Linked DNA regions of Arabidopsis thaliana. The protein of the gene in region 3 interacts with the protein of the main gene of each other region in a pairwise test. Each region holds a gene or a part of one and is shown on either strand. Other genes may lie near its edges. The genes, in order: AT3G12830, AT2G24400, AT4G33920 and AT1G79130.

The links.
Region 1: the proteins of AT4G33920 (region 3) and AT3G12830 interact in a two-hybrid assay, tested with the Arabidopsis thaliana proteins (one large-scale study listed by BioGRID).
Region 2: the proteins of AT4G33920 (region 3) and AT2G24400 interact in a two-hybrid assay, tested with the Arabidopsis thaliana proteins (one large-scale study listed by BioGRID).
Region 4: the proteins of AT4G33920 (region 3) and AT1G79130 interact in a two-hybrid assay, tested with the Arabidopsis thaliana proteins (one large-scale study listed by BioGRID).

The regions. Positions count from the first base shown.
Region 1 is NC_003074.8:4,078,140-4,081,578, forward strand, and holds AT3G12830 (SAUR-like auxin-responsive protein family), read right to left. Parts: upstream 1,489-3,439; 5' UTR 1,377-1,488; coding exon 978-1,376; 3' UTR 512-977; downstream 1-511. UniProt on the Arabidopsis thaliana protein: Provide a mechanistic link between auxin and plasma membrane H(+)-ATPases (PM H(+)-ATPases, e.g.
Region 2 is NC_003071.7:10,376,388-10,380,347, forward strand, and holds AT2G24400 (SAUR-like auxin-responsive protein family), read right to left. Parts: upstream 2,259-3,960; 5' UTR 2,143-2,258; coding exon 1,606-2,142; 3' UTR 569-1,605; downstream 1-568. Other genes in the region: AT2G24410 (SMAD/FHA domain protein), read right to left, coding at 2,784-3,020; AT2G24420 (DNA repair ATPase-like protein), read left to right, coding at 3,760-3,928.
Region 3 is NC_003075.7:16,258,819-16,263,595, reverse strand, and holds AT4G33920 (Protein phosphatase 2C family protein), read right to left. Parts: upstream 3,089-4,777; 5' UTR 2,721-3,088; coding exon 2,462-2,720; exon of another isoform or gene 2,216-2,461; coding exon of another isoform or gene 2,206-2,215; coding exon 1,829-2,205; intron 1,490-1,828; coding exon 1,253-1,489; intron 1,163-1,252; coding exon 893-1,162; 3' UTR 542-892; downstream 1-541. Other genes in the region: SSN2 (zinc finger SWIM domain protein), read right to left, coding at 1-21, 137-158, 244-304. UniProt on the Arabidopsis thaliana protein: May dephosphorylate and repress plasma membrane H(+)-ATPases (PM H(+)-ATPases, e.g. AHA1 and AHA2), thus influencing negatively plant growth and fitness.
Region 4 is NC_003070.9:29,769,248-29,772,456, forward strand, and holds AT1G79130 (SAUR-like auxin-responsive protein family), read left to right. Parts: upstream 1-1,970; 5' UTR 1,971-2,071; coding exon 2,072-2,476; 3' UTR 2,477-2,640; downstream 2,641-3,209. UniProt on the Arabidopsis thaliana protein: Provide a mechanistic link between auxin and plasma membrane H(+)-ATPases (PM H(+)-ATPases, e.g.

The DNA.
Region 1 (3,439 bases), on a different chromosome or scaffold from region 3:
GGTCGCATATATAAACATGTGGTGGTGTTTCTATATAAGTAAAGCTGATTAAACATAAAACGAAGGTTACCTAAAAATATGTCTAAACCATTATGTGTAATGTGTGAATTAGATAAGTGCCAACGGTGCAAATAAAGTGAGATCCCATATATAATGATAAAAGTGTTAGTATTTGCCCTTTTAAAACCAACTCATTTGTCTACTAGCTGAAGATTCACCATGTTAACCGAATTCATAGCTCATTCAATTATGGTTAGATAGACACTGGAACGCCAGAAACAAATGTTAGTTTCAATATTTGTGGTCTATATAATACTGTATTGGGCTTGGAATCAAGCTTGTGTTTTGGATCTGAAAGAATGTAACTACAGATGCAAACCCACATGGTTTCACTAGTTTTTTTTTTATGAATTTCAATTATTTTTTTCTATATTTTATTATGAATCTTTGGCATTACTTACCAAAAGATATACTCTCTTCTAGAGAAGCTAAAGGTAACAGATAACTACTTGAGTATCGGGTTAAAAATATTATAGTAACGGCCACAGATTACAGTTTATCATATCCCCTTGATGTATCGCATTGACGGATTTACCCTGCCGATAATCTCGGTGAAACATCAAAATCCTCTTTTTGTTTAACTTGAACAAAAAAAACTGTAATCATGTCAAATAAACCCAGAAATTAAAGAGATCCAAACTGATGCAAATTTTCCATATAAAAAAACTTCACAAGAATTTCAAACCGATTTTTAAAACCGGCGAAAAAATTAGAAAATTTGCAAACAACAAAGAGAAAGAAAATCCCTAAATGCGTCTCCTCTTCCACTTTTGGATCCTGGAAAAATTATATACCTATTTACATCGACACGACGACGAAGTATGATGACTCAGTAGTATCTGAACAAAAACAACCAGATCTAGAAGAAAAAAAAACTTCTCTAACTACCAAGATTCCTTCCAATAAAAGCTTCTTCTTCAAATAGTCCCGTCACCGATTAGATCCTGAACATCAATCGGTACCGGAAGTCCAAGACGAAGCGATTCCATGATTCGTTCGAAGACAAGGACATGGCAAGGGATTTGTAGAACTCCTTTTTGCTCGTAACCATACTCTTGAGCAGATCGGTTTAGTAAACCGATGAAAACCGGATGGTTAAGTAGCTCCGCGCTAACGACGAACCTCTCCATCTCGTCACCTACGTAGACCGGTACGTGTCCTTCGGGAACAGAGGAGGTTTGCTTCTTTGAGCGGCGAGTCACCGAAGAACGGAGGAAGGATTCGGAACGGCGGCTAGGTCGCTGTGAATCGGAACGGAGGAGACTGTATTGAGCGGAATCAGCGACGCGAGAGAGACGACGGATTAGTTGCTTCATCGTCTTCGTGTTGTGACTTTGAGAGAGAGAAGAGAGAAACTTTTGGTGATTGGTACTGAAAACGGATGTTTGAGAATTCGAGAGAGAATCAATGAGAATTTTGTGAAGGAGAGAGTGAGGGAAGGTTTTGGATTTTATATTGAGTCGAGGGTATTTTGGGGAATGTGTATTTGATAAAGTAGGTACGGGGAAGGAGTACTTGCCAGGTACACACACTTACTCGTAATTTTCCACTGACTTTGAAAAATATATAAAATCCTAAAAATATATAATATGATAAAATATCATATTCATTTGATGTAAATCTTTGATTATTTTTTTAAGATTTTTTTATTCTCTTAGATAACTGTTTGGATTTCCATTAACAATATATATCCCCGCATTATCATAATCTTTTTTGAGTATAATGATATTATTGTATTTTCTGATCATAATTGGAATTAAAATAGCAATTAATTTACCTTGGTTATTCTACCAATTTATTGAAAGATTAGATATAGTTTTTTTCTTGTTAGTAATAGATACACGAGGTTCATGAGCAACCCAAAATATATCTTAATGATGTTGTAAAATTAATTACAAGTAGTTATCAGGAAAATAATAACATTATTCATGGTAAACTGATTATAATTTACAAGAGGCCAATATAATGTTCAAAATACAATTTTCATTCAAGCAAATTAAAAAAAAGGGTTATATATCTTTGTTTAGATTAATCCATATACTTTGTAATCCTATATCATGTACATGTAGTTAATATCATTTCATCTAATCATCTATTATCCTACTTCAACTAAGACTGGATATCCAATTCCACTTTGGAAAATTTTTACATATCCAATTTTTACATTTCTTTCTTTAATCCTACTCAAAATATAAGGTGTAGAGAAAGATAGATCCCCTCGTTTTTTTTTATCAAAAGATCCCCTCGTTAATAATTATATTTTCAATATATTAAATAATAAGCTAGAAATTAAATATGGATGAAGTGTGGAAAAGTTAGTTAATTTTGTATATGGAAATAGTTAATTGCATACAAATTTATATTGTAAGATAGCGTATATAGCCATTTAAATATATGGTTTCATACTCGTAACAATGTTCATGGTTTTTATTGAATATGTGATCTATCATATGGCCTAAGTCTTAAATCCCCATAGGAATAAATGATGCCTTCAGAATCTGGTTACAAAGTCTACTATATAGGCTGGATTTTAAATTTCATAAATCAAATACAATTATACAAACTAAATATTCTGGATGGAAATATTACAAAACAAAATGTGGAGCTTCAACTTCTGTTGACCCCAAGAAAATGACATAAAAGGCTTCTAGAATTTGGACCAAGTGATTAGATATGAACCATTTGTGTAAATATTATGAATTCTTTTTGAACCAGTACGTATAGATTATTCAAATAGTCCATACTCACCCTCAACGACTTAAAAGACTTCAATATTCATTTAGCTTTCTTCTGGTCATATTCATATCCTCACGTAACCATCATTGAAAACTAAAATAAGATGTAAGTTACTTGTAAGTTTCCATTATGTAATATATTTTTCAAAGATTAATCACTGTACTGTCTATTATTTTAGATCATAACTAATTAAAAAAATAGCCAAAAAAAACTTATTAAATTTTAACAAATTTTCGTTTTCATTGTGTAAACATAAAAATCTATCACCATCATGACAATATAAACACAAGCCATTCAAGGATATAAGTGATATAATTAATTCATATACTACAAAATATATAGCTGCATGCTCGATTGAATCAAACTTCATAAGTGACGATTCGCTATACCTATTAATGTTGATAATAGATTACTTGTCTTTGCCACAAAACAAAAAGATTACTTGTAAGTTGTGACCTCTAGAAGAAGCATCCGACTATGCAAAATGCACTCAAGCCATGAATCATGACAAATTAATCATAGGTTTATGATCAGGTGACTTTATAAATTGATATTGCCCAAATCTATTAATACACATTCAGTTTTGTGACTTGATTATATACATCTTTTCCCATTTTATAATTTCTTTGAAAAAAATGGCGCG
Region 2 (3,960 bases), on a different chromosome or scaffold from region 3:
CCTTTCCTGGTTGATTTTTGTCTGTAATGTGTCTCATTCTCATGTAGATATTTAAATCTATTTCATTGATTATTCTTAAAAAATGGGATTTCCTTGTCGTTTAACGTATAACCTCGACACCCATCTTTAGAGCAGAAAACTATTGAGTCAATGTCGTACACTCCCAACTGTTTTTATGATTCCAAGGCATATGGTTTGTTCTTGTTAATCTTCTGCTGGATCATGCTGTCTTTAAGTTTATAGAAACCTGCAATTCATTATTCTCGATATAAGGTTCAGGAGATAAGTGCACATGTATTAGGCGATTCGTTCTAGATGGTGTTAAATCTCAAGGTACAGATGTCATGTGGTGTTTTCCGTTTTATCAGATCTCTATGTTTTCTGTTTTGACTTTTGACTCTCATTAATCATTTTGGCAGAGAACTAACATGTAATGTGATTTTATGAACATCTTACTCTTCCTTTCTTGAATCCTGTTTGGTTTAGGGGATTGTAAAGTCAGTCCTTTTGATATTGCCGTACTCTTTTGAGATGAACGTATATGCATGTGATCACAATAATGTAGCTAGTTAGTTTATGTAAGAATTTTTCTGTGACTCTGCTATTAGCTTATTATATTACTAAGCATCCGTATTTTAGCTTTAGTTTTTGTAAGAGAAGCTTAGGATACCGTACTTTTGCCTTTGAATAGTTTAAAAACAACATTCCACTTGGTGATTAAAAGTACCATTCCGTAATTATTGTTATCCTTACATTATCATATTATTTTAAACCTCTGATTACTTTAACATAACTCTGCAACTTCCATTCACATGGTTGTTCCGGAAAGAACGCAAACTGCCCAAATAGAAACATGAACCATTCTTTCTATTCTTTTTTTGTTCTCTCTCTCTCTCTTCTTATTTCTTAATAGGCGTAGCATTTTGGCTTATTATGAGCTTGATTTCTGCTTAGAGTTAAACGACAAAGTGCAAATGTTTAATTCGTATGACTCATTATACCTCTAGTTGCATAAGGGTCTATCTGCTGAGGTTATAGATCAACTTCTATAGTATTCCAAACTAATAAAATCTTCGGTTACCATAAATTATCTTGCCTACGTGATATGTTTCTACTGACTTGTGCTGCAAATGCAGACGACTGGATTACAAAGGATCTATGAAAATTTGTGTAAAAGTTCAGATAGTGTTTTTGCTTGATTCACTTATTCAGTATTTGATTTTTTATTGTACCACGAGTCTACTGCATTTGTCATCAGGAATAGATGGTTAGATCAATGGGCTGGTGGGTTCTTGTGAGAAATTCCACCAGAGCAGAGAAATATCAAAGAGCCGTTTTAAGTTTTCATCAGTCAGAGGTAGTGCAACAAAAATTGAAATCAGTGCAGAGAAAGAATAAAGAGTCTCCAGGAACAGAGGTCCACATCACGGTTTCAATGATCTGTTTGTACATTCCACTATTTAGAAATCTCTCCCCTTACTCAGAATTAAGAAATTTTAAAGCACACAAATCCATATTCCTAGAGAAAAAGTGGGAATAAGCAGAATGGCTCAAATTAGCACAAGAGGAGGAAAAAGAAGATGCAGAAGCAAGCAATGAACAAAACTATCTGCACATTGGGCTGTTGTGAGGTTGGTGTGAAGGAGTCTTAGGACAGTCTGATGGATGCTGGTAACTCGTCTTATCATCTGCTGCTGCATTGAACTTACATTCCTGCTTAGCTGTTATTGGCGTCACCAGGTACCCTTCGTTCTTCTCCTCCATTATCTTCAATATGCTCTCAAAAACAGAAACTTCACAAGGAATCCTCAAGACACCGGCTTGTTGAAACCCGAACTCTTCTTCTGCCTCACGCAGAAGAACATAGAAAGCTTGATGGCTGAGGTACTCGGTTGGTATTGTGTACCTCTTCTTCTCTAACCCGACCGAAACAGCTAGATACCCTTTAGGCACAGCTGTTACATCTGTAAATGACAGTGTCCTCTTCAGAAACTTGATGCTCTTGCTTCCCCCGCCACTGCTATTGTTGTCTTCGTTGTTGTTGTTGGCTGCTTTTGATGCAATTGCTTGTTTTCGCCATTTCTTGAGAAGCTGTTGAAGCTTAACGATCTCTCTGATCTTGTTTGACTTCTTGGCTTCCATGGTGGAGATAGAAGACAAAAGACAAGAAGTTTGGTACTATGTTTTGTCTAGCGTCTGTCTCTTTCTATGTGTGTAGTGATTAGGACGTGGTGAATATTGAGAATCGGGGATATATAGAGGTGGTGACCACGGAATTCTGATTTAATTAGTTTTGTTTCTGCTTAAAATATTGTGCTAATCATATGCTTTGGTTTTTTTTAATGATTTAAACCAACTTGAATTTGTTGACAAGCAAAATTAAGCAGCTTGAACTTAGAAAATGATATTTAACATAACCTCAAATTTTGTCACCAAAATCAGACAGGCAAAGCTGGCTCAAGCATCGCTTAAATCCCTGTAAAACGCAACTATGTAATTAATATTGAGATATACTTGTTGCTTTCTGACTCTGATTTCATTCACTCGGCAGCATTCTCGTGCTCTCGGCTGCTGTTGCCAAATCTTATGGTATCTTTCTCAAAAAGCTCATAGTACCGTTGTGTCTCCATCAGACTTTCATTGATGTAAGTCTTATAGGTACTACTAAGATCCATAATATGTAAGGCCTCACTTGCTTCTTTCCCATCATACCATATGGCTCTTTCTCTTTTTCCACCTCCCGGTACTGAATAACAGCATGTTGCTTGCTACAAAATGTGTGATTAGTAGGAATGTCGGATCTTTCTCTCACGTCCAAAGAGGTAGCAAATTTGGTAATGAATGCAAAGTGTCTCTTTCAGTGGTTCACCATCCTTAAAATGATAAAGTCTCCATCTTTCTTTGGGTTTTCTATTATCTACGGGATTATTGAAGAGGAGTGTGATACCTTTGTATATGTTGGTTTCTTCAGCAAGTTTCCTCGATAGCTCAAAACATCGCACACCATGTTTTTCAATCATCAAACATGAATGAAGTAGCAGCTATCGAGATTCTCTCTCTCGTCCGGTACTTAGCCAACACCCTTCCTCCGAATCTCTGAATGTCAGATTGATGTCTCCTGGCACTTGGAGGATAATCTAAGCAGACATGGATGGGTCCTAATCGATCAAGATAGTATCTTCCATATAGGTCTCAAGAGTTTGAGAAGATGTCTTTCACCGTTTCATGCGGAAGTTGACTCCTTACTTTAAGCAATTGAATGCATGATCGTAATTAGTGATATATTTGGAGTTTTCGCTTCCGGTTACTCTGATATGATATCTTTCCTCGACAACTATAACGAATGACCAATATTTGTAATAGAGATAGTCTATTTTCGATCTCTCATTTGTTTCTTTCTTTTTTTAACATTACATTTTTTCATAGAATTCTAATACTCACAGATTGTTTAATGATTTTTTCTTACAAAAAGTATCATTCAGATAATTTAATAAAAATGGTATCGCAGTGCCTTTATTTACCTTTAGGAGTAAGTTTTCTTTCTTCCGATATCCTAAATTGTTCGACACGTGTCAATCACGAAACCACAACCAAAAAACCTTGTCGTCTTCTCCAATCATAAAAAAAAAAAAAAAACAGTGTCCCAATTTGATCAAACAAAACAAATTCATAAATTCGGAGAAGAGAACGAAAAATCTTCTTGTTGGCAAATCTCCGGCGAGATCATCTTTCTTATTTTGTTCCACGGAAGTTTCAGACATGGCGGCCGCGAAACTCGTGGCGTTGTTACTTCTTCTCGCCTTGGTTTTCAATTTCACCACTTGTATCTTTGCCGACGCTGGAATCGACGGCGGCGATGAACCGAAACTTAGATCCGACGGCGGTGATATCGAATTGGATCAGCTTAATGCTAAAATCCGTGCCCTAGGTTACACTCAGAACTTTACAGTTACTTCAATT
Region 3 (4,777 bases):
TTACCAAACAACAGCTGCAAGCTGTATTTGCAAAATTAAATCGATAAACCCTAATCATACCAAACGACTGAAGAAAAATCAATAAATATTTTCGGGAAAAATAAAGAATCCCAGCTATGTATAAGAGAGAACTGACATTGAGAGCTGTTCTTCGGTTACTGCAGAAAAAGATGGAAAATTCAACGGAATAAAATGTCGTAAACAAGGAAAAGGAAAGAGAGAAGTAGTAAAATGGTGAAGTACCTGAACCGGTTGATTCAATGTTCGACCAAACGGCGTCTGCGACCAAAAGAGTGACGTTCATCGTTTTGCTTTTTCTTCCGTCGAAACTTTTCTGAGAAAGTTCTTCTGGAATTGTTGAATTTTTGAGTTTGAATTGCTCTGCCCAATTTCATATTCTCAAAAACCGCTCGTGTTCAATTCGGTTTAGATATTTGACAAATTTCAATTTCGGTTTGATTTGGATCTGAAGTTTCGAATGTCTGTCATGCATATTTTCCAAAATTTAGGCAACATCTGGAATTTTGTTGGCTTATTTTGGTTTGTGATCGATAATGTTTTTATTTAGTTATTATAGACAAATAATTCAATATACTAATCTCTCCATACAAGGTCATAAAAAAAAACAATCTGATATATGAAGAGTTGTCCTCAACGGTTTCACACTAGATTTTCATACAAAAGTATTGTTTGTGTCAAAAGCAAAACTGCTTTGCCCAAAAACTAAAGGGTTTCGACCTTCTTTGCTGGTAAAAGAATATACAAATCCAACTCCAATATTGAAAAAAAAAAAAAACCAGTTCTTCGTAGAAAAACAAATAAACAAATATGTAAACAAGTTTTCTCCCTATTCGGATCTTTCCCAAGCAGCCATTTTACCATAATCAAACAGTCAGTATAACACATTGAGTAACCGTCGTTGCTCTGCTTCATCAGAGTGTAATGAGTAGATATCCGGTGGAGCGGTGATACCTCCTTGCTTCACCAATTTACTATTCGATGAACTGGTTTTGTTTTGATCTAGATAAACTACAATAACGCTTATGTCGTCATGGAAATGTCGTCGAATTCCTTTGGCTATTTTCTTTATATCTCCATATCTCATTTCTCTCTTCTTTGCCGCTTCTTCCAGAGCAGCTCTTACAAGTCTTCGGGCAATACCCTGTAGAACACAGAGTTAATAAATAAATAAACTAAGTAGCTAACATAAATGTGAAGATACAAAGCAAACTTGAGTTTAGGGAAAACTTACAGTTCTTGGGTGTTTGAGGACGATTTCTACGGCTGTTTCATCACTAAGATGTTCCCAGAGACCATCTGATGCAAATATCAGAAACAAGTCCTGTGGCTTAAGCTTCCTTACTATAATGGAGGGTTCGGCTGTCATCGCGGGTCTCCTCAAAGGAATGGGATTTCCATGTCGCTGGAAAATCGGGTCCCTGTAATACTCCGGTTTTTTCAAGTATACATCCCCAATTGATCTCGATACCTATAAAGAAGCGTATATGAAAACGATTTAGCTAACTAATATACAACGAGCTCAAACATTCACGGAAAGGTCACAAGCAACTAAAAAGCATGTATCTTCATTATTATGTATAGCTCTGACTACCGGGAATTCTTAGAAAAGCACAAAATCCACTGGGGAAGAAACGTTGCAGGAGCCCGTGTGACGGATTCCTGGAACATTGCAAGCCCCCATTTATATAAATGAAAAGAGAAAAGAAAAAACAACATCAGATTACACCTTTTAAATATTATAACTTCATCACAGATGCTATGTAATCACACGCAATTTAACAAGCAGGCAAGCAAAACTAAGTTATACCTGAATAATGCCTTTAATCCGCCAAACTCCACGTGTGTATAAGACGATTTGTGAGTCATCAGGGTTAAGTGCCTTAACCTCCTTTCTCACTTCTTCAACAGCAACATTATGATCAGTAGATAACCGTTCAGCTACGGCACCTTTATTACTATCAACCCCTGAAACAACGCTTCCAAGAACGGCTCTCGAGTCCCCAAGATTAGCAACATACAGTGTGTCATTAGAGATTGCACCAACAAGACAGCAAGATCCTACAGTAGCCATTTGCGGTTTCATGGGAAGGGATCGTTTAACCATACCACAAAACTCTTCTTCTGTTTCTTTGAATGCCTTTTTGATAACATCTACAGATAATCCCCCATGTTCTCTTGCAAATTCTGCAATCATAAAACCAATCCTGTAAATTTCACTAACAAGAACATGACTACAAAATCAATTCAAGAGGCAATTTACAAACCTGAACATGTTCACAAAGACCAAAACTTCATAGCAAAATTCGAATCTTTTAATATTGAAATGATCAGGGTAATAGAGATCTCATAAGTTTTGACCATCAAAAACGTAGTCAAAGAGTCAAAAGAAGAAAGAATCCTAAAACAAGTTTAGGGAAGGAAGAGTGGGATTATAACTTACTGTGCATATAAGGAAAGAGATGTCTGTTAACGAATCTAGAAGCTTCAGGTCCACCATGACCATCGTATACACCGACGTAAGTAGCAGAAGAAGATGTGAAAACCTGACTCTGATCTTCAAGCCTGGAATTGGCTTGAACCACCGCGATCGAATAATCACCGCCAGCGTGAGGTCTCAATTCCGATTGCCAGAGTAAACCATCACCACTAGCTCTGCTTCCCAAACACCGTTCGAGAGGCCGTGCTAAAGCTCGCAACATCACAACCTACTTAGGGTTTTTCTATACAGAGAGATTCTGAGTGCAGTAGAGTTAGAGAGAAAGAGATAACAAGATTTTCGATTCGATTGGATGAGAGAAATCGAAAGGTTTTTTTTTATTGAATTTTGATTCGTTCGTTTTTGTTTGATCTGATCGGTTTTAAGGGATTCGTGTGTGTGTTGAGTTGGTGGTGGTAAAAGAAAACCGCGTGAGGAAGAAGAAGAAGAATATTGATAGAGATGACTTGTACTTGTGCCGTTTCTTAGAAGGCTACGTAGACTACGCGTCGTTTTGTTTTAATTTCGCCCTCCCCCTTCTCTTTTTTTTTGCAGTTTTTTTCAACGCGTTGTTTATTTTTGTTATTCTTCTCCATTTAGCTTTATTTTTCTCAATAAATAGACAAAGTTTTGGCCCAAACATAAACGTCATTGCCGTATATTATACTAAAATATCTTTCTTCTGGAACAATTCAAAAACTTAAATTCTGATTCGGTCCAACAAAAAAATATCTAAATTCAACAGCTACTTTTATTTCTTTTTGAAATAGGAGATATTATATTAATGTAGTGTATAATATATATATTTATTTATATGTGATTTACAGAGTCAATGTTTGAATATTATTTAGAAATAGTAGACCCTTTTGAAATATAAATTCATGTCTACGATGAGTAAAGAATCAATTAAATTGTTCATGTCTACAAAAATGTTTACATCGTCTGCAAATAGCAATAAATTAATTCTATTTTGTGTCTTATATATTTTGTATTTGAATATATCAGTGGGAAATTGTTATAATGAGCGAATAATGAATGGGTAAGGATGAGTAACCTGTAGCCAACGTGTAGCTGATATATTTGCTTGTCAACTAAGAAAGACGGATAACAACTGAATACAATTTCTTGCTAATAATCTAGTCATCTTAGTATCTATATTATTATTAACCTAATTTTATTATCACGTTACCGTTTCCGGTATAAGAAAAAAAACATGTTCTGGTCAAAACAAATCTTTGTGTGCTGTGTTCTAGAGCATACTATTAAAACGATGAATATTATTGCTTATGGAGTAATTTATATTTAATTACAAGTGGCACATTTTTATTTGGTTGTTATAAAAAGGTTTGCATTTTGGGATTAAGAAATTGACGTGGAAGGACTTATATATATACGCGGAAGCAACTGGAAATTCATTGGCCCAAGTTGTCGAACTTTTTTGATCATGATGTTTACCTTTACATTTATAACATTATGGATGCGTATTTATCGTTGTTATGGATCATAGGGTGATTTTCAACATATATAGATCCATTCATTTTATTTTTTTTAACATTTGCATATCCACTCATATTATACCGATGCATACAAGATTCATCAAACAAAAAAAAACTTAATTAGTACTACTATTATTTCTGTCAATGCTCACTAAGAATCTCTCTAGTATCACATCTCTCTTCAGTGAACAATGCTCTGTGAACCCCAAGAACCAAACATTAAATGAGTCACCTTCTTTCTTAAACAACAGTTCTATAGCCCACAAAGAGAGCTCCTTGAACCTTCTTCTCGACACAAAGGCTACTTGAATCTTCTTCTTGCTTATTCTTTTCTAAACTCAAATCTCTATATGAAAATCATTTGTAGAATGGTTACACATTTTATTTGGTTATCAAAAAGAAGTTGCAAGAATATAGACTATTAGTTAAGAAAATAAACTCATTTGAAATTTCGTTGGATAATGTATTGATCTCGGCTTAAGACTCTCTAATTTGACTGTATATAATTAATAAATAATCATTCTTTACTTTTTAACCATAAACACAATTCAATGTTGGACTACATATCCACCTTACATTCTAAGATCGATTCCAAGTCATTATCGACAGCCTGAATGAAGCAAAACAACTCAAAAGAAGCCCACCTAATTCAAATCACAAAAACGTTCAAGTTCCATCGAACCAAAACTTAAACCACTCTACGCAACCAAACTTCAACCAAAAAAAAGGATAAATTCGGCGCATTTTTTTGTATTTGTTGACCAGTGAAGAAAATGACAAACTG
Region 4 (3,209 bases), on a different chromosome or scaffold from region 3:
TTGAAGACGTGAAAAGCCGATGATGATCATCTCTGCAACATGATCCGTAAGAGTTAGATTGATATCGGAGCGGAAAGCATCGTTTCATTGATTGATCGGCGTGGAAAGTATCGTTGATCCAATCTCGTAAAGCCGATAGGATTCATGTAGAGCCACTCTCGGCAACAAATCCATCCGGTTATTTTCCTTGTTAAGAAGATCTCAACGGATTCATCTCAGAACCTACCCGTAAGAGATGGATCGTCTCGTTTCGTATATTGATTTATATCCTCTGTTGTGCATTTGATATCATAACAGTCAAACCCTAATTCCATATGGATCACCACCGCAACACTTTCACCGGCGGCTAATGATGCGAGGAAGAAAGTGGCAAAAGAGGGACAGTGAAACCGAAGACTATATAGCAGCTTTGGAGTTTCGATGGTTCAACGATTCAGCAAATCCAGGTTTTTGGCTTTCCCAATTTTTTTTTATTAATTAATTTTGATTTTAAGGGTATTTTTGGCAATATATTTCAAATAAACATTTTAAATATAAAAATATTTTTTTAAAAAAAAGATTTAAATTAAAGTGGTAATTTAAAACTTTAAACTTTAAGAAAATAATTGATAAAATTTAACTAAAACAATGTTAATTTCATTATTAATTTTTGAAAGTTAGTTTAAGTGTTAAATTTTAAAAATATCGAAAACTAACCGCGCCTAGGCATCCCGTCCTTAGTTGGTCCGTAAGTTTTGTGGTGTTCGAAGTTCGGCATGGTTTTCACGTAATATAGATTTAACACTTAAACTCATTTTTAAAAAATAATAATAATTTTCACTAAAAAAAATTAGAACAATTTTAAAATAACTGATAAATTTTAACTAAAACCATGTTAATTTTACAGTTTACTTTTTAAAAATAAGTTTAAGTGTTAATTTTGAAAACGTCGAAAACTAACCACGCCTAGACATCCCTTTCAAGCTCGTGAATACTCATTTCCATCTCATGGAGTTTCTTCCTCAATTCGACCACCTCTTCCTCCAAATTCGACACTTTACAGATAATCGCCTCTTCGCGAGATCCAGTTGCTCGAAAGAATCCGTCGGAATTATCGATAGAATCTCAATAGGGAGCTCAAAATCCGATCGACCTTCTTTGACTATTCCAAAAATCTCGACATCTCTTACGTGAATCTTTTTAGGGTTTGATGGAAAAGACACAAAGAAGATTAGGAATCTAAGAATTTTTCTCACTAATGATTATTTGTCTTCTATTTAATTTGGCTACAAGCTTTGTTTCTTGTTCTCCCACGTTTAAACACTCTTTTCCCTCCAAAAAAAGTCAAAGATGAACATTAATTTTGTGTTCGTTTACTTTCTTATGAAATCTAGTCAAAGAAGAATATTAATTCCAGAAATACAATTAAATAAATTATGATACAAAAACCATCTATCAATATTTATATTTTTGTTATTTTGCTAAATTATACTCTTTTTCTTTTATATATATATGAAAATATATATACATGGAAAGCAAATAAAAAGTAAATTAATAAATACTACGTCTTTTTCTTATCCACTCGTCTCTGTGTATTTATATGTTAATTTACCATCAAACGGGAAAATTACGTATTCATGGTAAGAAATAGATTAATAAATACAACGGATTTTTATCTACATAGTCTCTTGGTTTATTCTGTACATTTCATCATACATAAAAAAGTCTAAAATTAATTTGTACAATAATCAAAATTTGATTTTAGCAATCCACATTTGTTAACAATTACCCTTACTATTCTTATTTGTAATTTGACTAATGTAAGTGAGGAAAGTTTTGAAAATAAACCAAATTTAGAGAATTTCTCATATTGCATAATCAAAATTAGGTAGTTCTTTCAATTGTTAAATTGACCATGACTCATTATGTTAACACATATATGTATGAAATAAATTAAATACCATTTTTGTGTCATCTCAAAATATAATAATACTTAATATACACATTTCTGATAAGCTTAATGTGAGTCCACACCTCTCTCCCATATTTATGTCTCTCTGTCTCTAGCATTTTTGGCTGTCTAGGATCAAAGATGAAGCCTCTGATTCGACGTCTGTCACGAATCGCAGACTCATCCTCCTGCAACCGAAATCGCAGCGGCGATATCCATCACCCGACGTCAACGTACTCCTCTTCAGTTTTCTTGGTCAAGCGAGCAACCGTCGCGTCGAGTGTTCCTTCCGGTCACGTTCCCGTCAACGTAGGCGAAGATAAGGAGAGGTTCGTGGTGAGTGCAGAGCTGCTGAATCATCCTGTTTTCGTTGGATTGCTGAATCGATCAGCTCAAGAATACGGATACACTCAGAAAGGAGTTCTTCATATTCCTTGTAACGTATTCGTGTTCGAGCAGGTTGTAGAGTCTCTCCGATCTGGCATCGCTGATGATACATCGGAGCTCATTGCATCGTTATCTGGTGAAGATGTATCTACAGAGTAGATGATGATGATTCTGTTTTTTTTTTGTTCTTCGATCTTCTCCTTTTTTATTTGAGTGATCGGAGAAATTCGTCTTGATGATTTGGATATGAAAATTGTTTTTTCGATTTTATCTCAAAATTATCAATTTAATTTGTACTGTGAAATAAAATTGAAGTGACAAAATACAAGTTATTTCACGTACCGTACTACGGATCATCATCAACTATATAATAATAATAATTATTTTAAATTTGAAGTCAATATGAATTATATATCCATGATATCGTCCCAACACCTAACATTTAATTGATTGAAAAGTTCAGATATATGATGCGATGTGAGTCTTGCGTGGATAATACACTATGAAAAGATGTAAATCCACTATAATGATTACACATATTTTTTATTGAATTTTTGTACTTATTAATTGAAGACCTATGATAATTCGAAAAAAATATAGTATAAAGTAGCAAATATCTTGTAGTAACGACGAGAGACTTATAGTTATAGGTGTATTAAAATGGGGTCTAGAACAAAAGGTCTCAACATGGCCGTATCTTCTTGTACCGTTGTACGGCTGGACTTTTTTTTTTTGTGGGGAACAATTTGCTGTTCACAGCGTACAACATACATTAGCTGAGATCTCCATCTCTATTTTTATAACAAAGTAAACGGTTTGTGGCGAACTGTTAGTGGATTAGAGGATGATTTGCGTATCTTTCAACTCTATGGCACATGTAAGACTACGTTGT